Struthio camelus: one gene and its partners. The protein of the gene in region 2 interacts with the protein of the main gene of each other region in a pairwise test. Links are inferred from orthologs where the notes say so. Each region holds a gene or a part of one and is shown on either strand. Other genes may lie near its edges. The genes, in order: ZBTB16, CEP70, SYTL5 and AKAP17A.

Region 1 (7,722 bases), on a different chromosome or scaffold from region 2:
GCCGGGCCGGGCGCCGCCGCCGCTGCCGCGCCCCGGCCCGACGGCACCGGCGGAGCGGGCGCCCGCGGGGGGCAACGTCCATCAGGTGGCGGGGGCGCCCCCCGCCCCGCTGCGCGCCCCGCGGCCCCGCTCCGCTGCGCTCCGCGCTGCGCGCACTCACGGCGGGCGGCTGCTGCGGCAGTTCGCACTGCCCGCTCTCATCGCCGCCGCCGCCGCCGGCCGCGCCGCGCAGCAAATCACCGCGGCGCCGGCCCCGCGGGCCGCCCCGCGCCCACGTCAGGCCGCCCCCGGCCCGCCCCCGGCCCCGGCCCCGCCGCCGCCGCCCCCGCCGCCCGCTCCATCTTGACTGCTGGCGCCGCCGCCCCGGCCCGCCCCGGCCCGCCCCGACGGGGCCCCGCGCAGCGCCGCCCGCCCGCCGCCGCCGCCGCCGCGGGGCCGCGCAGCCGGGGCGGGGGGGCGGCGGCTGCTGCTGGACAGCGCTCCGCTCCGCCGGCCTCTGCCAACAACAAACATGGAGGCGGCGGCGGCAGCCAATGAAGCGGCGCCGGCGGCGCGGCCCCCCCGGCCGCCACCTGCAGCCCCCGCCGCGCCGTCGGGGCCGCGCCGCCCCCGGGCGCAGGCAGGCAGGCAGGGCGGCCCCCCCCCTCCGCCCCCCCCCCCCCCAAAACAGCCGCTGCCCTCCGCGAACTCCGCGCCTCGGCCCCGGGCGCAGCGCTGCCGCCGCCGCTGAAGGGCTGCGGACGGTGACACCGGGGGGGGGACGGGGACGGGGGGCGCACGTCGGCTCCGTGCAGCGCGTTTGGTAAAAACAAAGACAGGGCGAAGCAGCTGGCCGCCCCCGGCCCGGGCAGGCAGGTGCCGGAGCCTCAGGAGCAGCGCGGAAAGCGCGGCGCGGTTTGCTGCCGCGGCCCCTAGCAGCGAGCGCAGCCAGGAGGCAGCGCGGACGGACAGCCGCCGCCGCCCAGCCCGGGCCGCCCCACGTCCCCACCACCGCCCCACAACGGCATTAGTACAAAGATACCCTTGGGGGGGTAAAGCGGTGCGAACGCAAGCGGCAGAGAATGTTACAGGGAAGTGTGTTTATAATTATAATGGGATTTAATGTACTTTGGGACCAGCTGATAGAGGTCATTTAACAAGAACAGCCTAATCACAGAGGCCTTATAATGAAAGGCGACAGCGCTGAGGTTATTAGATAAGTATTATAATGTAGCATTCGCAGTAGTATAGTTAAGGATAAGGCATCAGCCACCCCCATTTTCCAGGGGTTATAACTCTGCCATTTTAATCGGCAGAAAGCTAAAATTTGGAGTGCCATCAGTCAGCATGAGCGCTGGGTTTTTTTTTTCCTTTTTAATTGCTTAAAACTGCTCGAGTTCCCCCCCCACACACACTTTTAACTCAAAATGAATGGGAGTGGAGAACAGCAAGACAGTGTGGTTTCAGGTGTTTGTTTACCCTCCTCTAACTTTTAAAAGGCTTGATTTCAGAACTGAAATTTTGCAGACAGTTAGGGGTATGTTTTTAGTGTAGCTTGCATGAAATTAAGCTGCATGAGTCCCATTAGCAATAATGGAAATCCCACGGCTAAATTCCCATGCAGCATGCTGAAAATTAACCCCCCAGTCCTTGCTGCGAACTGGTGCATTGCACTTTTTGTTGCTGTTTTAATATATATAATAAAAGCTACCGAGTTGTTTAAGAGACTCGCTTCCTACAGCTACTTTTTTCCCCAGAAAGTATTGGATTGTTGACCCTGAAAGCAGAAATCCTGCCTTTATCCACTGACTAGGTGCATCTTAGGTAGTGATGTGCCTAAATCCTTCAGGGGTTTCAAGCTGTGCCGCAGTGTTTACTGCAGTGGCTCCCGGAGACCCTAGGCAGAATCAAGCCTCTGTTTTACTGTAGGCTGAAAAAATGTGAACTGACTTCGGTTATTCATATGCCTTTTTGTTTTTTGTTTTTTTTCCCTGCTTGCATTGCAATACCATGTAAGAATCTTTAGTTCTAGACATTGCACAAACAGTGCAAAAAAGATGGTGTCCCCCCGCAGAAGAGGGGCAGAAGAGCTGGTCAGAAGCTCTCACCAGAACGTCCTTCTAAAAATCCAAATTTGTCAGTGTATTGCACTCACGGCGTTAAGCCGAGATGACTCAATAGTGGAGAGTTTCCTGCAGCTCAGCCCCCAATAAACTACCACCGCTGAGCACGGTTCAAAACTCACCTGTCTGCCTGCAGCTGGACTTAGAAAAAGCCGAGTCCCCCTCAAACTACCACCGCGGTCTCTCTCCCTGCCCCTCCAGCCAGGCCACCTGGGCTCTGCACACGCTCACCACGGCCAAGAGCCGAGTTGCTTTCCTTGCCTCGACTGTTGAGGCGACAAGTTAATTGAGGCCCCAACCAACTGCTACTTACTCCTTAGAGGTTAAGTAGGAGTTTCAGGGAGTACTAGCACGAGTACTAGTTCCATCAGCTTTCTGCAATACACCAGCCAAGCGCATCTTTGACAACGCCAGAAACAGCTTTTCCCCTCAGAAAGCACACGATTTAGGAGGAGTTGCCCCTGTTTCCTTCCATATGCTTGCAGCCCTCCACGCTCCTGCGCGCACATGGAGCTGGGAAACCCCTTACTAGCCACAAGGCAGAGAGAGTATGAAAAGTATAAAACAGGAAAGAGCCAAAAACTCTTGTCCACAACCTTAAACATCATCGCACTCTCTCCCAGCAAGGCCCCACACTGACAGCGTAGAGGAAACATTAAAAAAATGCAAATTCCTCACTGCACCAGCTCCAGCAAGCATGCTCAAGGCACCTATACCCTCGCTTACAGCAGGTGACTGACTTCCTGTGGAAAAAGAAAGGTCCAACCGCGGAAAGTTCACCCGTCTAAGAGGAGGAACAAACGCGACCACTTGCCTTGGTGTCCCTGCCCTGGAGGGCAGCAGAAACGCAAGGAGCCACCTCCTGCCAGGTTCACGCACCGGACGTGCCGCCTCCAACCTCCTCGCCAGGCTGCAAGTGCTGCGGCTGGGGCAGGGGCGGGAACAGGAGCACCCCCAGGCAGGGCCCCCGCTGCCCCCAGGTGGGCCCCGTAAGGAGGCGGCAGCACCGCCCCAGCCTCCCGCAGCTGGTGCAAAGGGCAGAGCCCAGGCGCTGCCCAGGAGAAATCACCCTCACAAACGGCAGCCTTGGCCCCCGCGGTGGTGTCCCAGCACCCAGCGCGGGAGTTACGGGCTAGTACCCCCAGCAGGGCCCCCCCAGCATATTCCATTTCACTCTCATCTCTCCCCATCAGTTTCCAATTTATCTGCTGTTCTGAAGTTAATCCTCACCTTGTAGTGTGACGTGTTTATTACAGAAGAACCAGCACACTAAACGAAGCCAAGCTGGGTTTCTCCTGTTAAATAGCAGTCACGCCCAAGCGGCTCTCCATGTGCCATTACTCCAAGTGATTGAGGCAATTTCTTCCTCTGCCATGAGTTTAAGTTGTAAATCTCTCAACCAGATACAGAGGCAATGATGTGCTGCCTATTGTGATTATTATTAACCTTTAGCATTAAACTTGTGAGACTTGCACGACGCCTAGAAGCTCTTCACGGGACAGCCACACGTAGCGTAGCGTGCGGGTCCGCATGCGCATCCCTCCCAGGAAACGGAGCGATCGCCGCACAGTAACTTTTTCTCCCGAGTTATTCGTGTATTTTGGATGGGGAGACACAGACATTCACTTTCTTAACATAAATAGCATGGTAAGTGTTTGCAGGCAGACAGAAAGATAAGATTTGCAAACGAAACATGTGCCAAGTTGATGGCCTCTAAGTATTTCAAGGGATAAGGGAAGGCGGTTCCTTGGGCTGCTCCTTGGGCACTCAGCTAGGCATACAGGGACGAAAAGGAGAGGTTAGCCCTGGAGAAAAGGCTTTAGACGCACAAGGTCGTTCCACAGAATTTTCCCAAAACTGCAGCAGAAAAGGGAGTTCCTTGTTTGGGATATGTAGCCCAGCACTCAGGTCTGAAAGCCGCCGGGGAGCGGGGCGCGCTCGGGCTGCCTCGGCTCCGTCAGCCCGCGGCTGCTCCTTCCCCTCCAGCGCGGGGACGGCCCGCGCAGGCGCAGGCTCCTTGCCCCCGCTCTCCACCCCAGAGACGATGACACGACTCCTTATGACTTCTTCAGCCTGCTGAGCCCTACAACGCTTTGGGATGAAGTAAGCCCAACTCCTACAGCTGCACTTTGCTGCGATTTCTTTTACGTCCCCCCCAATACAAGCGAGCAGCTTGGCCTGCCCTAGCTCTGCTCCTGCGCCAAACCGGCGAGGGGGCACCCGCGTCGCACGCAAGCTGCAGAAACGTTAACTTCCCCGCGCTCAGACTAGCGCATTTTGGTATGGGTACCGTTGTGTTCCCTTAGCTGTGGCGGGTTCGGGCAGTTTCCTGGTCTCGCTGCTGTGCGGCCCAATGCTCTAACAGTGGAACGAGGATTTTCGGTGTACCTTAGCGATTTGGGGGCAGGGTGGGAAAGAGCAGCCGTTTTAACCTAAATCATAAAAATCCATGACTTGGGCCATCCCTTTTAAAAGCTGATTTGCGACATTACTCCCAACTCTGGGCGAAGGTTTCAACATGCAAACGCTCGTGCGTAAGCGCACGCGCGACAAGCGCCTGCCCTAGCGCTGTTAGGCACGTCCAGTTCGCTCTGCGACTGAGAGCAGTTCGGCGCTCTGCTGCATATAAGACACACTGACAGGTCATGAAAGAGATGATTAAATGTGCTAGACTTCATTTAAAAAAGAACGCGTCAAGCCGTTTGCGAGGAGGAGCGGGGAGAAGCGCCACGGGCCGGCAGCTCGGGGTGCAGCCCCGGCGCGGCGCTGATCGGCCCCGCGCGCGCCGTGGCCGCACGCGGGAGGAGGGAGTCGTGAGCAGCCCTTCATCGTGCCACCGGCTGCCGTGCCAAGGCAACCGAGAGGGCGCAGCTGCTTTGGGGGACTTTGGGGGCGGCACGATGGTTGGTTGTTTGAAATCCGGGCTCCTTTAAGGAGCATCGCAGCAGAGCAAGAAGCTGGGACCCGAAGTCAGCGCAGCTCAGGCCTTGCCGTGACATTTAGGCTGCAAGCACCTCTGAGTCACACCTAAGCTAGCCCAAAAACCGTGGCTGGCAGCGTTTGCTGCGCAGCGGCGAGGGCTGCGAAAGGCTACAGCGGTGCAATTGCATCAAAAGAGTGAATTAAATTCCCTGCTGGATTTTAAGAACGATGGCTTTTGAGATACCAAGTACCCCCGAAAGGAAACGAGAAACTGCCGTTCCTCCCTCGTAGGCTTTGGCACGCACACGATCGTTTCCAAGGCTTGCAGTTTCCCTGCCCTTTCGCCGTTCCTCCCCCTTGGCCCAGGTTACGCGCGCTGGGAAGCCCGTAAGACAATAAGGCTAATTAGTGGCTTACGGCCCTAAGCCTGCAAACAGCGCGAGCCGGCGGCGAGCTGCGACTGCGGCGGGAGCCGGCGGCGGCCAGCCCGCCTGCATTCCACCCCAAATCCCGGCACAAAGGGGATTTATCCACCGTGACTCAGCGAAGGAGCACAAACTTTACAGCGCTGCAAAACAGGCAGCCAGGCTTTGAACTGGTGTGTTTGTTATATATTGCCCCACCGCCACCACCGCCGCACAGCCTGGTTAGTAATTAAATAAAAATGTCTCCCTCTAGCAGGCGATGACCTAATCATTTGTACAGTACCTATTTTTAGCATTACCCTTTGTATGCATTCAAGACAGCTCGAGCCAGAAGCAGCAACTTCTGAAGCGTTAATAAGCTGGGGTGTGGGGACACTTTGTTTAATTTACTGTGCAATTATTTTTCCTCTTCTCCCCTTCTTTTAACCTAAAATATTTGACATCTCGCACGGGACGGGAAGGAAGATGTGCCAGGACTCTAAATGCCGGCCCGAACCGCACGGCGCCGAGGCGGTCGCGCGTGCGCTGGGTAAATTTCATCCCCCCAAACCCAGGACAGACAAGAGGAGGCCCCAGCACGGCAGTCCGCGGGGGCCGGCCTCATCCTCGGCAATATTAGACCATCTCATTCGAGAGATGCGTTTCTGGATGGTATCCTCCCTTTCCTCTGTGCCCCCGCCCTCGCTTCGGCTTTCCCTGCTCTCCAGAGCGGACATAGCGCTGGGGAAGGGCGATAGTTTCCCTGCAGCACACCAATAATGCTGGCTTTCCCCCAGAACCAGGGTACAGGGCGGTAACTCCCTAAGGGGATGTTCATTCCCCACCGGGCTCGTGCCCAGCTTTGGATACCAACAAGAATTGCAAACTAGTTCTGCAATTCTCATGCTTTCCTGAGCGTGTGATATTAATATATCCTTAACATATTTCTTCAGCTCCTTGCTGCCTTGAAGCAGCGCAGTTCTAGAGCCTCAACGACGCTGGAGCGTAGACCTCGCTTTGGAAAGTGAGTCAGGAACATAACTGGCATTAGCCATCCCATTGGGGAAAAAAAAAAAAAAAGTAAATCTGTATGCTATTTGGATGCTTTTGGCTCAGTTTCATGCTGGAAGGAGCAAGGTGCGTGTGGAGCTCCTGGCCCCAAGCGAACACCTTTACCCCCAGTTCATCCTTCCTCTCCAGCAAGGGCAAAGCTCCGAATCCCATTTCCAGTTGCATGAGTCATCTGTTCCCCTTTTGAAACACGTGTCTGCCAGTGCGCGCGTGTGTATGTGTAGAAGAGGTATTACTATTTTTGACAGTGCAAACAGGCTACAGTTGTGGAAGGTTTTCTCCTCCCCTCCTCTTTTTTCGCATGTGTGTGTGCTAAAGATGCACACAGAGTCCCCACACAGCTGGGGAAGCTTCTGTCCAAGCGGCTCCTCCTCCTTGTCGACTGATCTCCCGCACCAGGAAAAACCTAGGCGACCGAATCTCACACACACACACACACACACACACACAAACCTAGGCAGTTTCTAAAACATTCTGGCAGCCTTACGGAGGTATTTGCATCTCGAAGGAAATCCCCGTTCCTCTCTGCAGCCGTTCCTAACGCCCCTCTGCAAGCCACAGAACGCCAGGACTTACAAGAGAGTCGGAATAAAGTCTGCAGCCAAAAGTCAGTCTAGATCCAAAGTTACATATTAACAGATTTTATTTTCTTAATAATTGCCAGAAGATACAATAAACCCCGGGTATCTTATCTGCTTAGAAATTCCTAAGTGACTGAAACCTCAGATAACACTTGGATATCAAGACAGTTTGCAAACTACCCTTTTTAAGGGAGATATTTATGAATCCCTTGTGAAGGCTGGAAGAAATTTGTGCATTCCACATCGGTCACAACATATTTGCCCACCAGCGCGAATCCCACAGACGCACTTGGCGGCGTGTTCCGGCAGCTGGGTCAGCGCTGGGGCTGGCGGGACGGCGCTGCGGTGCCCTTGGCCCATAGGCCTGCCGTGCGGGAGGCAGGGTGGCACGCTCTGCTGTACCGAACACGTTCCCTGCCGGAATGACTCGGTCAGCCTCCAATGAATGACAGTCAACAGGCTCACAAAGCTTTTCCTGGATAAGAGCTATCTTCTGAGGGCCAGAGTTGCAAAAGTCGTCATGCAAGCCGCTAAGGCCGCAGATAGCTCCAGATAGAAGGGCCGGCAATCTAGGCAGCTGACACGGCTTTCAACGGCAGCTGGGTGCATCGCCCCGGCTCCAGAACTCCCCCTGGCTCCTCA
Region 2 (7,625 bases):
ATTCCTCTTCTTGTTTAGTGAGGGCACAGTAAGAAACAGTCAGGCTGCACAGTCCCTTTGAAATTTGTTGCAGGTTAGTGTTACCAGCCAAAACTGGCAGACCCAGCCACACCAACACACTCAAGTGAGGGGCGTTTGAGGCCTAAGAATTGGCAAAGCTCTGATTTATAGTAGAAGTATGGAGACCTTATCATAAGAGACATAGAGTACTTCCAAAACCTTCACAGAAGTAACTGTAAAGCTTTACAGTAAGCCTGCAGTTAGCAGCTGCAAATACTACTTTTCACAACTGAAAGATTTTTGTTGTTTCTTTAAGATCACATTTAACAATACTAGAATCCCAGAATGAGATCACCCTGGTAGACGTTGGAGTTCCAGACTAAATAGTGCATCATTCTCTTTTCTTTGCTGACACCTTGTGTACAGTGGCTGTAATTTTCACTTTTCTCCAAGGATTTAAGCAGCTCACTTTTAATATACAGTAAAAGTTCATTGAACTCACATGCCTTTACAAGGCACAAGGATTCATATTTCAACTGGCACTCCTAAGGAACTCAGTTTTTAAAAAAATCAAAATATCAAAAACCATTATTTTAAAATGTGCTTCTTCATTTAATGTTACATCAGTATAACAGTGGAAGAAAATTGCTTACTGCTGATCCAGAAGAGACTTCGGAGCTCTTTTGCAAAACTGGCAAAACATTTTGTTTTGAGTGGCAACACGCTGCTGCTCCTCCATCCCAACCTTGTACAGCTCCCTCTGCAAACGGGCAATAGTCTCTTCCTGTTCTTGCAGCTTTTCCTGTTGCTGTTGGTATTTTGCCTGTGAAAAGGGAACGGGAGCATTCCGAAATTATTCTGACAAACAAGCTGGAGACAGTGCCATACATGCCCAAGTAGGCACTTGCTCCTAAGGAAGGTGAGTAGTTTTTTTCTAGCCATGCTGAAGAGACAGTGGAAGAAGGATGCATATGTTTTTCTAATCTATCATTAAAAAATTTCCATAGAGCTTGAAAAATCTTAGCTATAAACAGTGTAGTAACTCTTAAGACAAAAAGATTTGCATTTATTTTGACCAGTGTCACTATTTTTAAAGCTTTTAAATAAAAGTCAAAAGTTTGAGTCCTCAAACAGGTTTACCAGAATTACCTGTGAAATCTGCTGATCTTTTTGAAGTTCTTTGACCTGATTCTGTTGCTGGCAAACCTTAGCTATTGTCTCATCTTCCAGCTGGCAAATTTTGGATTTTATGTTCTTCACCACGTTTTCCAAATCATTAGCCCGTTGTTCTTGCCGGGATGCTCGACCTCGTTCCTGACGTACCTCATCTCTAACAAAAAGAAAAAAAAAACCACAATCCTTGATTTAGAATAAATTAACTTCACTAAATACAGTGAAGGAGACACAGGCCTAACAGATTTTAGCTGTTAACACTCAATAATGGGCCATGTGAGCAGGTATGGGAAATATTTTGCTATGGGAAGAAGCAGCAGATGAAATGATAGAAAAATGCAGAAGAAACCAGGCCAACATTGCCACTTTCCACAAAAATCCCAGGAAAAAGGTCTTGGGCCTCATGCGTGGCAGCAGCTCCACCTGGCAGAGAACGGACACTGACAATATTTTTGGCTTGCATTAGAAACAAGTTCCTACCACTGAGTCTTACCTGAGCTGGTGATTAGCCTCCATAAGCCCATGCATCATTTTCTGTTGTCGGTCCGTGTCTTCCAGCAGTGTTTGTAATGCACATCTTATCCCCAGAGAAGACTGATTGTCCAAGACAATCATATCTGGAAACATTCAAAATAAACAAAGTCACAGTGAAAGGCATTTGATAACTGGAGAAGACCACATCTCTGCTGGCACTTGCAAAAGACAGCTTTAAAGACGGTTTATGAACTTGGGCTTATATTTTCATATACAGAAACTTGTAAAAACAGCATGCCCTTACCTGATATACTTCTGCTGTTTCCTGGGGCAGCAAAGCTCACAGGTTTCAACCCATGGCGCATCAAAATTTTGTTTAAGTTTTCCCATTCTGCTTTCTCCTGCTGCGTTTGGGAGAAGGAGAGACAACAACCTGAATGCTGAAGATCAGCTTACGGTCTCCTATTTCTCCTAGCTGTGTACACGGTAGAAGATACCAAATGCCCCCATATCAAAAAACAACCACGGTTTGCTACAGGAGGGTTGAAAGACTTTCCAAGTATGATCTGCAAAAATATTAGGAAAAACACACTGGACAGTTTACAGATTATCCAGTTTTCCCGGTGAGTATTTTTAAATGCCTTTGCAAATGATCTGCAAACGATTAAAAGAAAAAAAATACTTTCTGGAAAAAATACATAAATATATACAAAATGAAAGGCACTCATCTCATACTAATATTTTAACGCGTACTCCAGGCGGCGGGGCCTGCTCCCCTCCCGTCCCGTCCCGTCCCGCCCCAGGGCCCCAGCACGGTGCAGCCAGCTGGCGGGTGGCGAGTTCTTCAGAGAAATACCTATCTGTAGGTGTGTGCGTGCGTGTATAATATATGTACATACATATATTTAACCTCAAAGTAGCATCAATCAACCAGACAAACAAACAGCTCAGGTTCATTACTGTACCTCCGTCATTGTGAGGGATTTCTGTTCAAATATGCAGAAAGAGCAGCCCGGGCCCTGATCTGAAGCTGCCTAGGGATGAACACGGGAGGGGGGAAAAAAGAAAGAAAGAAAGAAAAAGGGAAAGTCATCAGGCCTCGGGAAAGAGGACCGCCGAGAGGCGCGGCGGGGCGCACGGAGGCCGCGCCGCCGCCAGCAGCCGGCACTGGCGCTTCAGGCCGCCAGCAGCCGGCACTGGCGCTTCAGACCCCCACAGCCGCCCTCCCCGCCCGGCCCGCCGCCGCAACGGCTCCGAGAGGGCCGCGGGGCCGGCAGCGCGGCAGGAAGGCACCCAGCGGGAGGCGGCCGAGCGGCGCGGGCAGCCCACTACCGCCTCACGGCGCCGGCTCGGGGCGGGCTGCGGCTAACGGCCGCCGGCGGGGGGCGGGGCCGGGGCGCGCGCCGCGCCGCCATTTTGAGACGCTGAGAGCTGCGAAGGGAGGGGGAGACGGAGGTGGCGCCGGTGGGGGCTGCAGCGGCCGGAGCCCCGCGCAGGTAGGAGACAGCGCTGGGGATGGGGGCGGCCGGGGCCGGGGCCGGGGCTCTCCTGTCCAGCCCGCGGAGGCGTTGCGGTCACCTCGCTGCCCGACGCTGGGAGGCGGCGGCGGGGGGTGTTTTGGCCGCGGCGCGGCCGGGCTGAGGGAGCGGCGCCTTGGAGACCGCTCGGCAGCGGCGGGGCGGGAAGGGGGGCGGGGGGGGAAGCGGTTTCCCCGGCCTGGCGGCTGCTGGAGCGGCCTCCAAGGCCCTACAGCGCTAAGTGCCGCCTGGCAGCGGCCAGAGCTAGGGTGGGGGGGTTTGCTTTGCCCGGAGTCCCAGGGACTGATTCAAGGCAGTAAGTAATTTTTCTTATTTTCCCTTTTTTTTTTTTTTTTTTTTTTTGCGGGCCGGTTCTGCGGTAGAGGTTTTCTTAGTCAGTCAGCGTCTCCTGCGTGCTGCTCTCACTTTATGCTCCATGGGTATTGCCCATCCTCTAGATAGGGTGAAGCTGACCTAGAGACTGGGTTTTGTGCCCAGATTTGATTCGAAAAGCGTGTTACGAAGTGATTGGGGGAGGAGACTGTGTAGTTTCCGTTATTTTGTAGCCTTTTCAATATTGATGCTAAATTAGCTGCTAAACTTCATAGGGCCGGGTTGCATGCCACCGCAGGGGATGCAGGGTCTGCGAGCAGGCTGGAAACGTGCTCCGGTTCCACCTCTTTGGCACTTTTTGTAACTTGAGGTCGCTGCTGTGTTGATAAGATGGTCGAGGCAGGCGGCGTAAGTCTGTCCTGAGCCAGTAAGAGTCTCTTTCTCTTTTTTTAATCCTTAGAAAGGAGGTGCAGAAATAATAACCGTTTCCCAACTTCCCTGATGCTCCAGAGGATAAGAATCTTTATGGAAACCAAACTGTAAACTTCAAAAGCAACAAAAAGACCCCCTTGTTGTCATTATTAGTTGACATACACAACTCACAAATGGGAGAATTAAATCCTTATATTCTTAAAAATGAACTCACAGTCTTTGGAACTTACTTTGCAGTTCACGAGCAGAAATTTGTAGGGTTGCTGAGGAAAAAGATAATAAACAGTAATATAGCAATGCTATTGAGCTTGCTTTAGAGCAGAAACAAGTTACACTGAAGGAGGCCTAATGTTAAATGCATTAACTATTATGCTCAAGAGAGATCCTAGAACTCATGACTTGACTTTAATTCATTTTTTCAAGGAAAAGTACCATTTATTTACCAAAAATGAGTTATTTGCATTGAATGAAATTATACCTATTGGTAGCTACTTTGGATTAGAGCAATAGGCCATGTGTTGGAAGAAAAATAGAGTACAGTATTCTTATGCTTTTATGTTCCACCGGCTTAAATGATTCTCTGACAACTGGGAGGTCTGTTACAGCTTATGTGATTAACAGTACAGTTTAAAAGACAGCTTTTAATGAAAATAGATCCTACACAAACTATTGTGTTTAATGAAAAGGATAAGGATTAAAAACAGGTTAGCAGTGTTGTAGGAACACATAAATCACTACTTCTTACTTAGAAGGCTTTTTGATGGTGCTTGCATTGTTTATTTCTGGTAAATACAGATTTTTATGGTTGAATTGCCAGGTCAAATTGCTACCATGACTATTGAAAACTGCTACAGTGGTTTAGCAAAGCTATTAAGTCGAAATTGTTGAGTCTGGCTCTGGTGCTTATGTTTAGAGGTCTGAGACAAGAACAAGGCTTCCACTTCACTCAGGATTTGAATATTGCACTGACTGTGGACCATAAGGACTCCTGCATCCTGTCTGCTCTCCCAAGCAGTATTTGATATCCTCTTCTCGGGCACTATTTCATTTTGCCTCTAGTGGCAATGGTCTCCGGTGTGTTACAGTTGGTGACTGAGCTGTGAAGTTCTGGATTTGGTTCCTGTTTTGGTCAGGTCCGTTTCAAAACTTTCTCTCGTAAATCGGGCAAAGTACTTTTCATCAAATACATGACAAAGCTAGGCTGTGCTAATAAAGTTAGGAAAAATCGCCCATACTAATTTTGTAAAGTAATACTTCCAAATAAACTTGTATTTGCCTTTTTGTCTAAGAGGAAAAAAATCACATATATGAATAATACATGATAGTTCATCACACTTTTTTAAAAAGATCTATAATCTTAAATGGAGAAAACTAGGAAAATCTAGTTCTCAATGCTTCTCTATTGCTATTCAGCTTTTCTTTTTTTCTTGCTGCTAATTGGATTAAGAGCTGTTTTGATTACTATGGCATCCTGTGAGGAGATTACTGTCGGTGAAGATGAACTAAGGTAAAAAACAGAACTGCAGCATGAACAGGTTTGAAAAGATATCCACAATTTCAGCAGTCACTTAAGAGTTTACCTGAGTTTTAAAAACCACTTAAAGAAAGGATATCTCAACATCTCTTCCCCCCATTGGAAGGAGGGAGGGGTAATATGTATGTGCATGCACAGTTGCATTTCTGAATGATGTAGGTAATATTTATGAAAAAGGTTACAGACAAATTTTTTAATAGCTAAACTGGTCACCCTAACTAGTTTGCAAGTTTAAAAGGCTAAAACACTTTAACAGACCAGTTAGCGTACTGTATTAGTGACTGCCAAGAAATCACAGAACTGTCCATAAGCATCTGGAATGTAAGTGTAGTTTTTTAACTTTGTTGTCATCTGCCTTGGAAGTTTTAGAGGTTAGATGGATGTATGTTCTTGTATGGTATTAGTCAAAGTGAACCTGTTTACCTGTCTTTGTGCTTATTTTTTGTGACAAGTTTTATCATATTTGAATGTTTGGTTTTTTTTAAGAAAATAAAAAAATTGGTTACATTTATTCTTTCAGATCTCACTTTTTCATTGGTAAAAGGTGACTTGCTATAAAGTAGTAAAGCTTTCAACTACATTCAGCAATATTTGAACTCTCTCAACCACAATTAATGTACTTTGTTGGTGTTTCTGTAGGTCCCGGTACAGCCATTTAGAGAAGATGACAGATCTGGTGGCCGTTTGGGAAGTAGCTTTAAGTGATGGTGTTCATAAGATTGAATTTGAACATGGGACCACGTCAGGAAAACGTGTTGTCTATGTTGATGGAAAGGTGAAATTACTATATGCTCAAAATTCACTATGATACAGACTGTGTAAGTGTGCTTCCATGCAGAATGCATCAGAACAAACAAAAGACTAATAAATGCAAGTGAGATGTATTTGGTTGACTAACTTTACGTAATCTAATAGACTACATAATTCTCTTCTCAGTTACAATTAAGGTGTGAGTCTTCATGAAGTGCTTTGCAGTCCTTGGGCAGAGGCACTCTGTACATGCAAAATATTATGAATTCGTACATACTGAAATAATAGTTAAGTACTGGGCTGTTGCCCAAGTTCTAGTTCAAAATGTCTCAATCCTGAGACATATTCAGGTTTATTAATTAATACCCATTGTCTTTGGCTTTTTTTCCTACAGGAAGAAATAAGAAAAGAATGGATGTTTAAATTGGTGGGTAAAGAAACGTTTACTGTTGGAGCAGCTAAAACAAAAGCTACTATTAACATTGATGCAGTCAGTGGCTTTGCGTATGAATATACGTTGGATATCAATGGGAAAAGCCTCAAGAAGTATATGGAGAACAGGTCAAAAACAACTAATACTTGGGTACTGAGTTTGGATGGCATGGAGTATAGAGTTGTTCTAGGTAAGTAAATATTGACTTCATGTTGTTGCCTTTGAATAAACTTGTGTGCATTTAATAACTGGCAGATAAGAGAAGGTATAGTTCAGGCTAGCACTGTTGCAGTGCAAAATCCTGGGTAGTCTGGAAACACTTAATTAGATGCTAAAGACAACGATCTGAAAAAATAAGGGTCTGGTTACATCTTTCCTCTTTCGTCCCCCTTTCCCAAAAATACTACAAGCAGATGGGCAGAAGGAAGCTACTGGGAAATTTGTGTCCATTGCATCTAGTAGGGGAAGCTTCTTGGGTGTTGCTGCAAGGTTAGAGCCAGAGATGAGATCAGGGACTATGTTTTTTTTTTTTTTTTTCTCCTTTATTAAACGTAAGGACAGAATGAATATCCTAAGATCAAATAAGACTGGGGGGGGGCAATCTTAATATATGACAGAGCCTGCAGCCTGCTTGGTTTTCCTCACAGTTTTAGTCTCCTTGTATTTAATTAAAAGGCGAGCAGGGTTCAGCTCTCTAATCATTGCCAGTGGAGGGCAGTGTCAGTAATGTGAATTCTAGAGCTAATGAACTTAAGAAGGTTGTACTGGGAAAAATAAAATAATACTGTTTGAAACAGTACAATTTTAAGATTCTTCATATTATGGTATGGATGGAACTTGAGTTTTCAAGGAGATCTTAAGAACTCTGAAACTTTGTGGATATTAAGTAAAGCTGCTCTTTACTTAAACATACCTCAAAGAAGTTAAAATTGGGATTTGATTGAATAAACACTCCTTAAATAATTGGCACAGACTACTT
Region 3 (7,087 bases), on a different chromosome or scaffold from region 2:
CTTAAGACCATCTGCTGGGCATATACATCAATTATAAGATTGGTTTCTGCTTACACGTATTTTTGAATAATACTACGCAATTATTTTCCAAACGATGAACTCTGCCACATTTGTATTTTTTACGTATATAAGCATGGGTCTTTAGTATAGAAAGATAGAAGAACTACTCTAAAGATCCAAAAGAAATAGGCATTTTCAGCTTCCTATGCCTATGCCCAAAATACTGTCCTACTACCACTCTTGGACTCCAAAGCAAGCAGTTTTTCAAGCTTATTCTTCCTGCCATTCTTAACTACTCCACTGTCTTATGTTTCCAGGCTCTGGTAGAATACATCAGTTTCTTCATCCTTGGTCTCAAGAAAGTTTAATTGGAAGGCAGAGTAAACTTAGGCAAGGCAACAGCAATAAAGAACTGGGAAACAAAGTGCTCAGGCACTTAGCAAACCTGCACTGCAGCTGTCCTCAGCCCTTCACTCCATCAGCAGATTCTCTTCCTTCCCCTCCAGAGCAGAACATCTCACTAACAAAGAGCAGTTAATCATCAGATAGGAAATTCACCTCTGTATTGATAAGGAGACTTGGAAGAGAGAGAGAGAGAGCACTACGTAGAAGTGAAATGTCTTGTAGATATGCAAACCTGTAGATGACTATGATTTGCTGTTCATGCTGCAAGTTATTTAATAAGATCATTTATACCTGCTGTTTTTCCACTCTGAGAATACAGGGCTAACACAAGGATTTTTTACAACAAGCTTTGAATAAATAAAGAATCATTCATTCATCCCAAAGAACTTAAGATTTCAACTACCATGAAATCTATAAAAGCAAAAATATGCTGATAATTATCTCTTAAGGGTACACATAGCATAGAAGAAAGCTTAGAAATGTTAATGTATTAAATTACTTAAAGTGTGCTTAAACATACTAATACAGTGTGGATATCATATACCCCTATCTCCAGCCACACCTACCACATACCTCAAACCTGTACTCAGATGTATGAACAGGAATTCTCATCGCAACTGTCACCTTCCAAAGCTCCAACTCAATCTCTTGGATGCAAAACAGAAGCATGGAGCCCCGATTGCATTCTGGGGATAATTTATAAGAGAAATACACAGGAAAACATACAGCCAAAGGCTAATCAGCAAGGTCATCAAGTCTTTTTACGTCAAGAAAGTTGGGGGAGCCAAGGGAAGGAAGGTGAGCATACCCAAAGTGTGCCTCCTGAGATGACATAGCTTTCCTGACTATATGTCTAAAAGAGACAAGCTCCATTGTGTTCACCTGCTCCATCCTCTGCTACACACAGCTCACAAGATTTCCCCATACTAAAGTTCCGTCAAAAATAGAGACCTTGCTTTAGAAAAACATCCTTGGTTTAAAGCTGCACAATGCTGATAAAAAAAAATCAAAATACTTATTAATCTAATAAGTGCTCTTATTGTTAAAAAACTGCCCTCTCTATAGTCTCAGCCCTTCCAACTTCAAATTTCCACACTGGATCTTGTTAAATCTTTTCTAGCTCAACTTAAGAGCCCGCTCTTCCTACCCTGACATTTCTAGACAAAGATCCAATCACTGCTGTAATTCTTTTGATTTTGTTCAAGAAAACACGTTCTCTGACAGACTGTACAGCAAGCGGCTTTTAAACCTTTGAATTATTGGGGTGGCTGTGAGCACAGAAATCTCTTGCCTAAAGTGCAAACAGCAAAACAGTAACACTTGCACACCTCACAGCTAATTTTCCTGCTCCTGCTTGCTGCTCCTCTGTCTGCTTAGCTTCACCTAAGTGGCTCATCCCTGGCTGACTGCCCATGAAATTCCCTAAGTCTTTCCAAAATCACCAACCCTGGGGCGCAACCTTCTAACTCACTGTTCTTAGTGATACGACTTCACACTTAGTTATGCTGAAATGCATACTGGATATCTGCACTCAGTAACTACCAAGTAACCCAGACTTCTCTATAATCACTTATAAGTGGTTCTCCCTCTCCACTATCTAATCCTCCTGGTTGCTATATTTTAATACTTAGGTTATGTATTATTATCCATAATAACAAACAAATAACGTTTTTCAAGTCAAAAACCTGGAAGAAAACATTAGCTAGCACAAGCCTTCGAGCTATCTCCACCTCAGTGCCACTGAGCCTCTCACCTGCCCAGCCTCAAGAAGGACAATTAATGGCCCGTTCCTCACTGTCCCCCTCTGCAGAACAGTAACTGCAGATCGCTTCACTGACAGTAAGGTCCACCACCTCCAATTCTCACAGCAATGTAGGCTAACAAACATTTAAACAAAAAAATCACGCAAACACCTCCCGCCAGGTTAGTAATGCTGTAAGTACCTGCTTTACTTGCAGGAGGAAGCCAAGTGAGGGCAGCCCACCCCTCCCCACGGAAGGTGCCCCTGGAGAGCCCCGGCACAGGGGACCTGGGGGGCGCTTTCCACCAAGGCTCCCCCCCGCCTTCATTCCGCAGGCTCCGTCTTCCTCTACTCACGGAAAACAGCTGCATTTTCTATTAAGAAAGAGGGACTTACCAGGAACCTCGGGAGGAGAAGAAAAAAAACAAAAAATACGTATTTTTTTGAGATATATATATAGGTATATTTTGTCGGCATGCCCGCTGCTGCCGAGGCAGCTAAGGACTGCTGATGTCAACTCTGTAATTCAATGGAGCTGGGAGGTAAAGTACTACTCCAGCCTCCTCGGGATTCAGCTCCTGGCTCACGTAGGCAGCACACACGATATACACACACACACACGCTGCACGCACACACGGACTGCTCGGACGCCCGCAGGTGCACGCTCGCAGCAGCACACCTCACCCCCTCCCTACTCCCCGCCTCCCCCGGCTGTACCGCTCTCCGCCTGCAGCGGGCAGGGGCTCCTCGCAGAAGCAGCAGCAGCCCCGGCTGAAGTGTGCTTGCATTGCAGCCGGGAAGGGCTGGAGCCGAGCGAGGGGCTGGCTCACGACAAAGCCATCCCCATACCCCGGGAGAGGGGCCGGCTCTGCCCCACAGGAGCTGGCCTCGCCATCCCCGAGGAGGGAGGGGAGTCGGCAGCCAGCCCCGCCGCCACGGCAGGTCCTCCCTCACCTCTCCAGCTGCTGCTGGACCAGCCCCAGCCGCAGCTCCCGAGCGGCCCCTTCCGGCGCCCGCCGTGCTGCCCGCGCCGCCGCAGCCACCGCCCCGCAGCGCCCCTGTCCGGCGGGAAACGCTGCGGCGGGCAGCGGACCAGGGGTTGGGAGGTTAGGGGGTGCGAGCCGGGCGCGCCATGTTCGCGGCGGCCGTCCCGCCGCTAAGGGGTGCGGGCGGAGCAGCTGCCGGAGCGAACCTGCGCGCGGCGGGTAGCAGCTGCCCCTCGCGAAATGGCGGCGGGGGCCGCTCCCGCTGCGCCCTCGCGCGGCGGGCAGGGACTGCCCCGCTGCCCCTCGCGAAATGGCGGCGGGGGCCGCTCCCGCTGCGCCCTCGCGCGGCGGGCAGGGACTGCCCCGCTGCCCCGCTGCCCCTCGCGAAATGGCGGCGGGGGCCGCTCCCGCTGCGCCCTCGCGCGGCAGGCAGAGGCTGCCCGAAATGGCCGCTCCCGCCCTGCCATTTGGTAAGAGCCGTCTCAGCCCACCAGACCGCTTGCTGCTTTGTGTTTAACGTTCTCCAGCCATTGGGAAGCTGTAGCTGCATCCATGGTGTGCGCTGGATGAGGGAAGAGTCCAAAGGGTAGAGCGGTATGTAATAAACATCCTAAATGAATCAAGTGAATCATCATCTACCCTCCCAGGCATCTTCAACGCACCTGAAGAGCTCACGTAGCAAGCATCTAAAAAGATAAGGAAATTAATTTAGCACTTATATATATGGCCTAACATTTTAAAGTACAGTTCTGAAACTGTTACAGTAGACAGAGGTAGGCCACATGAAAATACTTAACACAGATTTTTTTCCACAGCAGTAACTGACTTGAAAGAGGGTAAAAATTTTATCGGTTTCAAAAAATTCTGATAGATGCAACCAAAACTTCCTGCTGTGCTTTCAGATGAACAATTCTAGCATAAAAATGGCATCTTATGCACAATACTCAGGTTATCTTCATATTTCTAGTGTCACATTTATTTTTAAGAAACTATAGTGCATGTCTTATTCCAAATGATGCATATGCTGGGAAGCTTAATCTTAAGAGATGCAATGTCTACTTAATAACTATATGAATACAACTCCTTTGGAAACTAATGTGAGTTAGCTGAATGTTATATTCATGACAGCATCCTTTCACTTGCTCATGAAAAGCTATTGGATGGATCTGCTCTAAATTAAATCCTGTAATTATCAGAATATAACACTGGTCTCTATAACACTGAAAACTGCTGTATCAAAAAAGATGCACAGTTAAATATATTCTGTAATGGCATGATTTAACCTATTAAAACATTAAAATATTAAAACTATTAAAATATTTTAAAATATTAAAACATAAAGTTCAGAGTTATATGATTTTTATAGCTTCATTTCATCGATGTTGGTTAGGGATTTAGTGAAAAGAAGGGCTAACAATCGTTTGCACAGCAGCCTGATAGCTCAGATACACCATTACCAACCTGAATACCCAAACACAAGAAGAATTTCCGAGAAATAGCACAAACTTTCTGTGTTTCTTTTGGTATAGAAAGCAGCTACTCATAAAGGCTGGAGAACCATATTATTCTGCCTCACCCAAATCCATGTTTATTATTAAGTGCCATCTGTGATCCGTAACAGACCGTAAGAACTAAGAGTATTGTAAGTCATGATTACAGAACTCTGTAGCCTTTTTAGAAGGAAGGTAAAGTATTCTCACTATTATTTCATTGATGGCTGGGATCTCAGTTGCTAACACTTGCATCATTGTGAAGAATTACCCCACTACAGTCCCTAGCTGCAGCCTTCTTCAAGCTAGAAAGCTTTATTAAGAATGAATCCTCGTATTCATGGCCCATTTCCAGAGTGCTATAGCAACACTTTTGTCCTCTGGGACAAGGTTTCCAATAGATTTTTCTGTCTGGAAAAGCAACTGCTAACTCCGCACACCAAAAATCAATATAGAGTTCAGTGTTTCTTGATGTCCTCGTCCACGCAGACACAATGTCCTCCAAACTCAAAGAAGAACTTGCACAAATTACAGAGTTCAGTTCAGCAACATTAATGAACAAAACCTGCTAGTCCTTGCTTTTTTTTCAGTCAGCATTATCGAGTGCTCTGGAAGCGCTCTGCATGTCTCTCTGCCCTAATCTATCAGTAATATATCAGACAACTAGGCTATTGCAGCAACTTGCTAAATAAAGAGGTTTGTGAGTAAGAATTCATGCATCATGAAATAGGTAAGAGAGTTTCTCAGAAATACCCACAGTTGTTAGCATCAAGAGCTACTGTGGGATAACTATTTACATTTGACTCCTAAATAACACAAGTGCTAGGGGTAGAATTGGAAGACACAGTCTTAAAGGAAAGCTTCCTCAGGAAAGTTGAAACATGCAAGTTCTCGATCGTCCACTTGAGTACTGCCCAGGCTACTTACAAGAAGTACAATTGCATCTTCAATGAGAAGAGAGGATTATGCCTTTTACTAATCCTTATTGCTCAAGGTTTTGACCTTTTGCATGGTGGAGGTCTTCATAAAAAACAGACATTTCAGCAATGCCTTCAGACTGTTGGAAAATTGTGGAAGCTACTTCTACTGAAGTGTCCTATTTCTGCCTAGTTTTTTCAATGGTTTCAGATGCATTCCACATTTTAAAGGATGGACTTTTTGGCATTTCTGGAAAAAGGGTTCCTCCTTGAGTTTTATTGCAGCTTGTGGCACTTGTGTGCTTCTCTCCACTGCTAATGAAAATGTGTGTGTGTGGGGGGGGGGAGATGTCAGATTTTTTTTTTTGAAAAAAAAACTGTTATAGTACACTAATGAAAAATGGGGCAAAATAACATCTCAAGAAGAAAGACAGAAATTGCTGCAGAAGCAATAGTGTCACTATGTTTCCTTAAACCATTCATCAATCTGCTCAGCATTCCTTCTTGAAAGAAAAGAGATTTATTCAATGTTATTAAGCAGTATCCAATAAATTTATTAAAAGATACATATTTTTAAATTCACAAGACACTGTTACTTCATAATTCCTGTTTGGTCAGTGTGTAATATATAAGGTTGGAAAGAAGTCTACATAACCCCTTAGCATATGGTGTCTTCAACACACATCGTAAATGTTAGTGAGATGACTGCTGCCAAGTAGCCATGTGATCTCGACCCGCCAGCTTTTCCTAGGGCTGGGATTTTGTTTATGCAACAATAGTATTGGGCTGCAAGTCGGATTCTTGTCCCAGAGTTTATTCACCTCACCTTTGCTACTTTTGTGACACAAAAAGAAGAGGTTTGCTTATTATGTACCCAAGAAACTTACCTCAGAGAGAAAAATGAAGTCATTTTTTAAGTTTCAGTTATTCTTTGGCTCCTTAGCTACTCTTCCTCTGCATACTGAACAAATGATGTCAAAAGTTATAATGTACCCTGTCCTTTTTAAAGGAAAAGCTAAAAGCAGAGTTACAGATACAGCAAATGCCAGTAACCCGTTTGTGCTTCTTTTTCTCCCATTATAAAACTAGGAATCGGTTTACTTGCCCCTGCTTTTCTTTAGTACATTTGAAACAGACAAAAAAAGTGGGAATACAATTACGAGTGTTTCACTGTGCTATGTTAAGCCAGTATTTGAATTACTGCCTACAGTGAACTCCTGCAAGCTAAGGGAATGGTCCTACAGCCCTCATTACTGAGTGCACTATTTATTCACACAACTGTTTTAGTGTCAGTTATAGCATTCTTTGCACAAGCAAGAACTATGCAAAATGAGTAAAAGCTGGAGAATGAAGTCCTGCATGAAAAAATGTTGAATTAATGTGCAAGTGCCATATGTTTTAAAGATATTCAGAAGTGTTCCTTGAGGCAACAGTGAAGGAACTGTCAAAAGAATTTGAAAATATGTGAACACCTGTGAAGCATAAACTGGTAGCATAACATCTAATTTCATCCTAAAGGTATCAAGATTTTTCTTGGAATTATTTACA
Region 4 (7,858 bases), on a different chromosome or scaffold from region 2:
ATGGGGTGCAAGGCAAAGAGTAAGTACTCCACAATTTATTTCATTCCGACTGTATGTAAAACGATGTTCCACTAGCAGGTTAAAAGGATGGACAGAGAGAAGCAGAGTTGGAAAGGTCAGAGCACTGTAACTATGTATGAAGGAGATCTGTCCTGATAGCACAGTTGCAAACATTGCCCTCTCCCTTTCCTATTCAATCCCCAGGGCAGCTGCCAGGAAAGCATTCCTCCTCCTGCATGGACAAACTAAATTTGGGAACCCTGATCCAGTGTATGTAAGTGACAGTCTGAATTTCACAACCCCTGGAAAATAAAAAAGTTAAGGTCTAAAGAGTTTCTATGCTCCAACTGACAAGCTTTGTAACAAGATTATAGTATTCTACTTAATAAAATAAAACTTAAATAAGTATTTACATGTTCCCGTATTACAAAAACGAATAGTCAAGCTTTTTCCTGAAATACACATCCTGATTTGATGAATGACTATGAAGTCCACTGAAATAAGTAAGCAAACATTTCACTCAACTGATACATAACTGGATGGACAAACTCCAAGTATATCAGAGCAGTCGTCCTTAGGCCATACTTTCATTGACATTACATCAGAAGAGGACGCGTTGTCCTCTCCTGCCATAGTTCTGTTTTCTAAGACAATGAGGTTGCACAAAAAGAAAAGATCTGGAAATCTTGGTATGTAAATATTATGAATTCAACATACTGGATTCACAGGAAATTGTGCTACAGTTTAACATGTACTTTTTTTTTTTTTTTTTAAGGCCTTTCCGTACGTGAAGTACACTAACCATGATCAATTGGTGCATTCCACAGGTCTTATAGGTCACAGACTATTAAATTTCAGAATCCTGACACTTGTCTGGTAGACCTCATTGTCAGTGTAGGAGGCTGTGAATTTCTCCCCCAAAAATTCCATTTGTGGTGTACACAAGAGGACATTTCATTTAAGTCAACCTTCTAGCGAAATATGTCTGAACTTGTTCAGAATTATAATTTTTAAGAGAAATGACAATATTTATAGATATGTATTAATTTTCAAAAATCACAAATCATGAACAAGTCATACTCATGTATTTGGTCCTTCCATTGAGAAAAAGGAAAAAAACCCCACCCATTCTGTGCCTAACATAACACATTTTTCTTCTTTCTATCATTTTCCTTTCAACATTCTATTACAGCTAGTCCACAGGATTTTAGTGGCATCTGTTCTTTAACATGGGTTATTATACAAGAGCCTGTAGTTCTCACCTTTATATTGCAAGCCACTGCTTTGCCATCATCGCCTTTGTACATCAGCTTCATCCCTCGCAGGGCATTCATGGCCTTAATGAAACCTGCATATTCCCGATATTGAACATAGGCTTCAAAGTTTAAATGGCCTCCAAAACTAAAAGTGTGGAAATTTCTGCCAGTCATTTCTTCTCTATAAGGGTCCAGCATAGGTATGTCCACATTACGTATTTCTCCAAATTTCTTGAAAACTTTTATGAGAACTTCCTCACTTGGCTTTTCTGAGCCAGAATCCTTTGCTGCAAACCATTTACAAGGTAAGCCTTCCAAATGAATAGTATCTGGTCTTTCCCCTGGCAAAGTTTCATTCATATCTTTTGCATCACGAAAAAAAGAGTCCCAGTCATGTCTGGTGGGAAAGTCAATCTTATACTCTGCAGCACGGACTTTCAAAATGTCAGAGAAGCCACTCAGCTTTATTGTTTTGCCATCAAGGCATGCCAGAAAAGACTTCACCAAACTTTTGTTTTCAACCTCTCCTTCAAACCGGATGAAATCCATTGTGCTTTTAGAAATCCGCAGAGTAGAAAACTGATGAGTTTGCACCATACCTTTCAATCTTTCCATAACTTCCCAGTTTGAAATGGATTTTCCTGGTTGTTTCAGCTGAGGAAGTGCCACACTGATGGTCATTTTTGTAATGGGCTTAAGATATAACCCACAGGGAGCACAGAGCTCTACAGCTTCTGATGTATCATGAACTATTGTTGCAGCAGCCATAACACAGAAAAAGCATAGGATAAAAAGAATAAAGATGAAAGTTTAAGTTGTAGGCCAAAAAATGTCAAATAAAATAGCCCTTATGCATAAAGAATTGAACTCCTTGGACATTTAATCACTCCCAAGTAAAACCAATGTCTCTTAATATAAAAGTCAATTAGAGAGTTAAAATCAAGTAACACAAGCATCTTAAATTACTTTATAACCACCTGAGCCCATAAACAACTAAATCTCAGTAAGGCCTCAGAAAAAACAAGACGCTGAGGACAATCTAGGAATAAATGAAGTTGGTATGCGATGGCTCAGAAAGCAGCTACCCTTTTTTCAGGAAGAAAGGAACAGGAGGAGTGATGTCACACGGCTTCGAAGTCTACTTAACAACACATAAACCACAGCAGATTAGCACTGAGGACAGACTCCACGCTCTCCACTCTAAAGACTCATAGGGTATCTGCAATGAGAGAAGAACACTGCTTTTTTTTTTTTTTTTTTTTTTTTTCTCCTCCCCCCCCTCCAGCCAGAAGCCTCCTCGCCCTCCGGTTACCGCAGAGCAGCCTGAGCGGCACGGCGAGGCTGGGAGCCCTCCAGCCCGCGCTACCAGCCAAACGGCAGCGAGTGACCCCTGCGTGCGGGCCGCACGTCCGGCTGCGCAACGAGCCGCCTGCGGGCGCGGGGGGGGGGGGGGGAGCCGCGGCCTTCCCCGCTGGCCGGCCCGGCCCGCCGCTGCCCCCTCCCTTGCCGGTTTCCCAGGGCACAGTGAGGCCTCTCCACCCACCACCACCACCACCACCACCACCACCACCACCCGCACGGGGAGACTCACCGCGCCCGCCTCGGCGCCGCCTCACCGCAGCCGGCCCGGCGCGGCGCGGCGGACTCCCACCCCCAGCAAACGGCCGCCCACCGCGCACCCGTCCCTTCCGCGCCCCCCACCGCCACCGCGCGCCGCTAGGCCCGCTTCCGCTTCCGCGTCGGCCGGGGGTGGGGGGGGTTAGCGGGGGAGGCGTCCTGGCCGGCAAAGGGGAGGGGCGGAGCCGCTCTCTATGGTAGCGCCGGGGCCGCGGCTCCAGCGGGCGACACCAGGCGGCGGGGAGGGGAGGCCGGCGGGCGGGCGGGAGGGCCGCGGCGCAGGCGCAGTTGCGCGGCTTGCGGGGCCCTAAAACTCCCCCGCAAGCGTCAGTTTTGTGTGAAGGCTGGTAGGAACTGCGTTTCTGCTCCGTTGCCCAGTTGCCTAGAAAGTGGGTCGTGGCCTGCTTGGTGTTTCTGTTTGGCCCTCTCTGACCTCATTTTCTCTCTGTGGCCCTGCTGGCAATGACAGCGTCACGGCCTGTTTTCTGTTCGCGCTGGAAACTTGCCGGCAAAGTGACTCCACTAGTTTCTAGTGAAAAGCAGGCCCTTGCTTCTTGCTCTCCCTGTCAGGCGTGCGCTGCGCAGCAGCGTTGGCCTGCCTGCGCTCGGTGCGTGCCAACAGGCCTGCTTTCCAAGAAGATCTTTCTCACCGTTTCCTTCTTACCTACTGGGAGATGAGAGGGCAGAAACCGAGCACCTTGCCGAGAGCAGTGCTGGGGCCTCCGGAGTCACTGTCTACCAAGGAAAATAGCCTCCCACACACTTCTGATAGTTTGTGCTTTTCTGGGAAAAAGAACCCAAACCCTGTATTTATAAACAATCTCACAAATCAACCAGACACAATTTAGTCGTATGAACATGGGTGCCTAATGCTATTTAAGATGCTGTAAGATACCCAAGTTATGTATATGGGGCTAAAAATTATCCTACATAATTACGAAAATAATTATAAAAATTGTTCGTGGAGGAAACCTGTCTATACTGGCAGCTGGAGGCTATGCTGACAACCTGCATGGCTGTAGGCACACATGTTTAGACAAGTGAATTGAGCTTCCAGTGTCATCGCAGGAGCTGTGGGGTCTGGGTCCTGCTGGGTCTCTGGCTGCTGCTCTAGGAGGCTGTGAGTCTCCTCAAATCCTGACGACGTCTCGGGTACCTTAGGGCACCTCAGTAGGCGCTAGGCCCATTTGCCAGGCAGCTGAATCCTGCCCCTAGGTCACAGGTGGACGTCTGCGTGTAGGCACCTGAGTGTAGAGGTCCTAGTCTTTAACTGCATCACGTCCTTGGTGTTCCCAATATTCAGGAATTTTTTTAACTGCCCGGCATGTACAGAGGGAAAGAGAGGGGAAAAAAGAACGGAAAATATATAAAGTATTGACAAGTGTTTATATAATTGTTCATTAGTAAATATATTCAAGGCATACCAAAATACCTGGTCTCTTGAATGTGCTCTCTTTCTTTCCTGGTCTTCAGTTTATATTAGTGAAAAAAGGTATTTAAGTTGCAGTAGTGAGGGCAGGGGACAGTTACTTCTTTCGTGCTTGTTTGATTTTTATGTCTGTTTTGCCCAAAATACAAATAGGCTGGCTGAACCTAAAATACAGGATTTTTATATGATCTTATACTATTTTGCAGATAATACAGAATATCAAAGCTTCCCACTATAGTTTTACCACTGGTGGTTTGCTCATACTTCAGTGTAAGTACGGGATGCAAAAGTTTCCAACTCTGCATAGGTCAGCACACATGCACAGGAGAAGGCTTGCCTCCATCTGCTCTGTCATCACCCTCCAATGATCGCATGTTCTTGACCCCGGTTTCAACACCGGCCCTATAATCACATGCCACCACCTACCTCTCTCGATTTCTTGCTGCATATCCCTAGCCCACAAGCCATTACTGCTTCCATCCTCCTGACCTCAGTCAGTGACTTACCCGTTCTCTCCACATCACCTGCTCCCCCTGCAGCATATGAAAGCAGGCACCCAGTCCCACCTTAGGTAAGCTCCCACAGGCTGAGAAACAGGGACTGCAGTTACCTGTGGCAGCAGACTGGTGATAACCACTGTATGGAAATAATGACTCTAAAGCATAGGTCAAAACACAACACAGGAAGTTACCACCAATCCAGCAGTCCTTGTGAGACCGCAGTTGTTGTATAGAAGTGTTATTTCACATCACGGATGTTGGTAACTGCCAACCCTCCTCTAATTTCTTGCACAGAAATATGCATTCCACGGTTTAGTTAAGTATTTGTACAAAGACAAAATCAGAAGCTGTTGCCACTGTACAACACCTTGAAATAGCTCATGTATGATAGTTGGAGAATACTTGCATCGTATGCTACGCTTTCTCTTAAAATCTTGAAAGTTCATTTGGGAGTGAACAAAGCAGTCACATTCCACGTAGTTTCAGTAGAAGTGGAGTGAGATGTTATGTAGGGCAACAGTTTTGAATCCTGTGCCTGAAAATTTACAAAATGATAGAATTAAGGTTACCCATGTTGTGCTACCAACCATAACCATAATATCTTTCACAGACTATTTTTCTGATATACTCTCGGCTGAAAGGAATGTTACAAATGTATTATCTAACACGGTAGGGGAAAGGAAAAAGGAATGTGATGTTATATTGAATAATATTGTAAAGGCTGTGGACAAGAAGAAACAGTTGAAATGCGCATTAGAAAGATATAAAAGATGTGGCAAGGGTAAACTTTCTGCCTGCACAAATACAATTAGTAGATGTGCATTTTTGTTTTGTTTGTTTTATAAACTATATTGAGATACCTAAGTGACTAAATGAAATGGTTCCTTTTGCGTTTCAGAAAATAGGTCACATATCACACATACCAGGAAGAGGAAGCATGAACAGGCAAGGTAAACATCAGTGACAGTATCCAAGCATAACAGTGCATTCAATCTGGTTGTCACTGTAACACATTCCATTTCCCCAACTGCAACAAATATATTGTGCTAGAGACCTGAAAAGTGACTTGTGTGTCTTGCTCAACTTCAACAAGTGGTCTAATAGCAGATAAGATTTCTACCTACAAACCTTGTCTGCTTGTATCTTTAGAAGTCACAACCACCACACTTTGAATCCCTTAAAAGTTCACTAGAGGGAGCCCTTGTTTTATCTATCTATCTATCTATCTATCTATCTATCTATCTATCTATCTATCTATATGCACAAAATCTATCTATACATGTATTCACAAACACAATTAAAATAGACTATAAACAGCAGATACTAAGTTTTGTATTCATGCCTTAATACACACTATTCTGCTTTTCTTACAAGAGGACACAATTCTCCTTACTGTGCGTGGTCTTATCTGTATACTTATTCCGCTGTTCATTCTGCACCATGCTCTTGCCTTTAATGATCATTTGTGGCAATGAATGCAAGAAGCTACATGTGTAATGCATTAAAGCAGCAGTGCTACTTCCATTCCTTCCTTGCTTCTTCCCCTCTGAAAAATACCAAAGAGGAGGAGCTCTTTTTAGCTTAAAACTTGGCTTTTTCTGTTTGAGACTGATTTGTCTCCAGTGATCATCTAAATCTTCTCTGCTGTATAAAGTCCATAAATACTCCTAGTATATTTCTTTTTAGAAACAGCTACAGTCCTTACCAGCCTTTGATTACTTTCAGTGTGATTTCTGTTTTCTGTTGTCACTTAACAGAGAACATCTCTTTGTTCTCTCTCCTACTGAAAAAAAAAACCAGAGTGATTCACTGTACCATCAAACTGTTTATGGATAGTAGCTGGAGGTGGATGCAGCAGCAGCACAGAAGACTTGGACCAATAGATTGCGTAATTCTTGAAAAGAGTAAAAATGATGTTTCCAGACATTAAATTGGCTCTACCCACAAAACAAAATTAAGCCCTGATGCCTTGAAGCCTCTAAGTGGGTAGAAGCATAGAATTGCAGCACATGATGCATTGTTTTATTTTCTATGGCAAGAAACAGTTCTATTTTTTTCACTTTGCTTCCATTATCTCTGCTCCTTTTTTTTTTTTTTTTTTTTTTGGTCTAACTGAATGCTATGTGTCAGTAAAAACTGTGCTTATGATTGTCTGCCTTGGGAAGAATACATGTCGTTAGAAGAATTGTGTGCTGACATGGGGCAATTTCAATTAATTGGAATTAAACATCACTTCCTGTAACTGGTCCTCTACAGACCTAATTGTTGTATTCTATTTAAATAAGTAGAATATGACTATATACAAAGATAATTCCATTCCCTCTTAATTCATCTGTACAACAAGGAATTCATCTTGTTAGCACAGACTAGGAGTATCCGATGCAGAGCGCGATAGTTCTACCAATTTACCTCAGTGCGCTGTGCTTACTGTCGCACTTAATGTTACACTTAATATAAATAACAAACAAAAAATCTACTTCTTGCTTTTGCCAAAGAGGAATTAGCATCTATAGCAGAACTGATTTATGAACTGTCTGGCTGAACTACAGCATGCAGTAGCCTGTAAAACATAAACATTAGATTCAAGCTATTAAGTCACGTTGTATTATACTTGCTAGCAAGATTTATGCTTTAAACAGTTCTAGTATTGTGATGTCAGATGCAGTACTGATTATTTCAATTTTTATACCGGTACTCATGTGAGATGCTTTCAAATACTGTTATTTCAGACTTCCATAGCTGTAACTTCAAATATAATTCCAGTTTTAAAAGATCAGGGTTCTTTTTGTCCTTTTTGCCTTACCTATTCAGAGGAAAATATTTGAGTCTGATTCAAATTAAGCAATTTGAAATTATATATTTCCCTCATAATATTACAGGTTGCGTACTAATACCAATCAAAAAAGAATCTGATCTTTTCATATGCAGTTTTTAAACCCAAAATTTTTCTTAGCAATCCATGAACTAAAATGCAAGAGCTGTTGGCCCATCTGTTTCTGGAGCAGAAAACAGCAACGGGTTAATACTGTTAATCTTCCATAGTAGTACATTTCTTC

Evidence for each region.
Region 1: the proteins of CEP70 (region 2) and ZBTB16 interact in binary tests that used the Homo sapiens proteins (3 or more experiments, as listed by UniProt). The two-hybrid records come from large-scale screens. The link is inferred for Struthio camelus from reciprocal best matches to the Homo sapiens genes CEP70 and ZBTB16.
Region 3: the proteins of CEP70 (region 2) and SYTL5 interact in binary tests that used the Homo sapiens proteins (3 or more experiments, as listed by UniProt). The two-hybrid records come from large-scale screens. The link is inferred for Struthio camelus from reciprocal best matches to the Homo sapiens genes CEP70 and SYTL5.
Region 4: the proteins of CEP70 (region 2) and AKAP17A interact in binary tests that used the Homo sapiens proteins (3 or more experiments, as listed by UniProt). The two-hybrid records come from large-scale screens. The link is inferred for Struthio camelus from reciprocal best matches to the Homo sapiens genes CEP70 and AKAP17A.

The regions. Positions count from the first base shown.
Region 1 is NC_090963.1:637,273-644,994, forward strand, and holds the start of ZBTB16 (zinc finger and BTB domain-containing protein 16), read right to left. Parts: upstream 3,001-7,722; 5' UTR 2,917-3,000; intron 289-2,916; exon of another isoform or gene 161-288; intron 1-160. UniProt on the Homo sapiens protein: Acts as a transcriptional repressor. Transcriptional repression may be mediated through recruitment of histone deacetylases to target promoters. May play a role in myeloid maturation and in the development and/or maintenance of other differentiated tissues.
Region 2 is NC_090947.1:35,546,661-35,554,285, reverse strand, and holds the start of CEP70 (centrosomal protein of 70 kDa), read right to left. Parts: upstream 3,004-7,625; 5' UTR 2,622-3,003; coding exon 2,613-2,621; intron 2,052-2,612; coding exon 1,952-2,051; intron 1,791-1,951; coding exon 1,667-1,790; intron 1,331-1,666; coding exon 1,150-1,330; intron 824-1,149; coding exon 654-823; intron 1-653. Other genes in the region: FAIM (fas apoptotic inhibitory molecule 1), read left to right, coding at 5,393-5,436, 6,103-6,238, 6,608-6,836.
Region 3 is NC_090942.1:129,200,625-129,207,711, forward strand, and holds the start of SYTL5 (synaptotagmin-like protein 5), read right to left. Parts: upstream 3,010-7,087; 5' UTR 2,864-3,009; intron 2,788-2,863; exon of another isoform or gene 2,543-2,787; intron 1-2,542. UniProt on the Homo sapiens protein: May act as Rab effector protein and play a role in vesicle trafficking. Binds phospholipids.
Region 4 is NC_090942.1:147,316,765-147,324,622, forward strand, and holds the start of AKAP17A (A-kinase anchor protein 17A), read right to left. Parts: upstream 3,003-7,858; 5' UTR 2,936-3,002; exon of another isoform or gene 2,848-2,935; intron 2,476-2,847; 5' UTR 2,025-2,475; coding exon 1,263-2,024; intron 1-1,262. UniProt on the Homo sapiens protein: Splice factor regulating alternative splice site selection for certain mRNA precursors. Mediates regulation of pre-mRNA splicing in a PKA-dependent manner.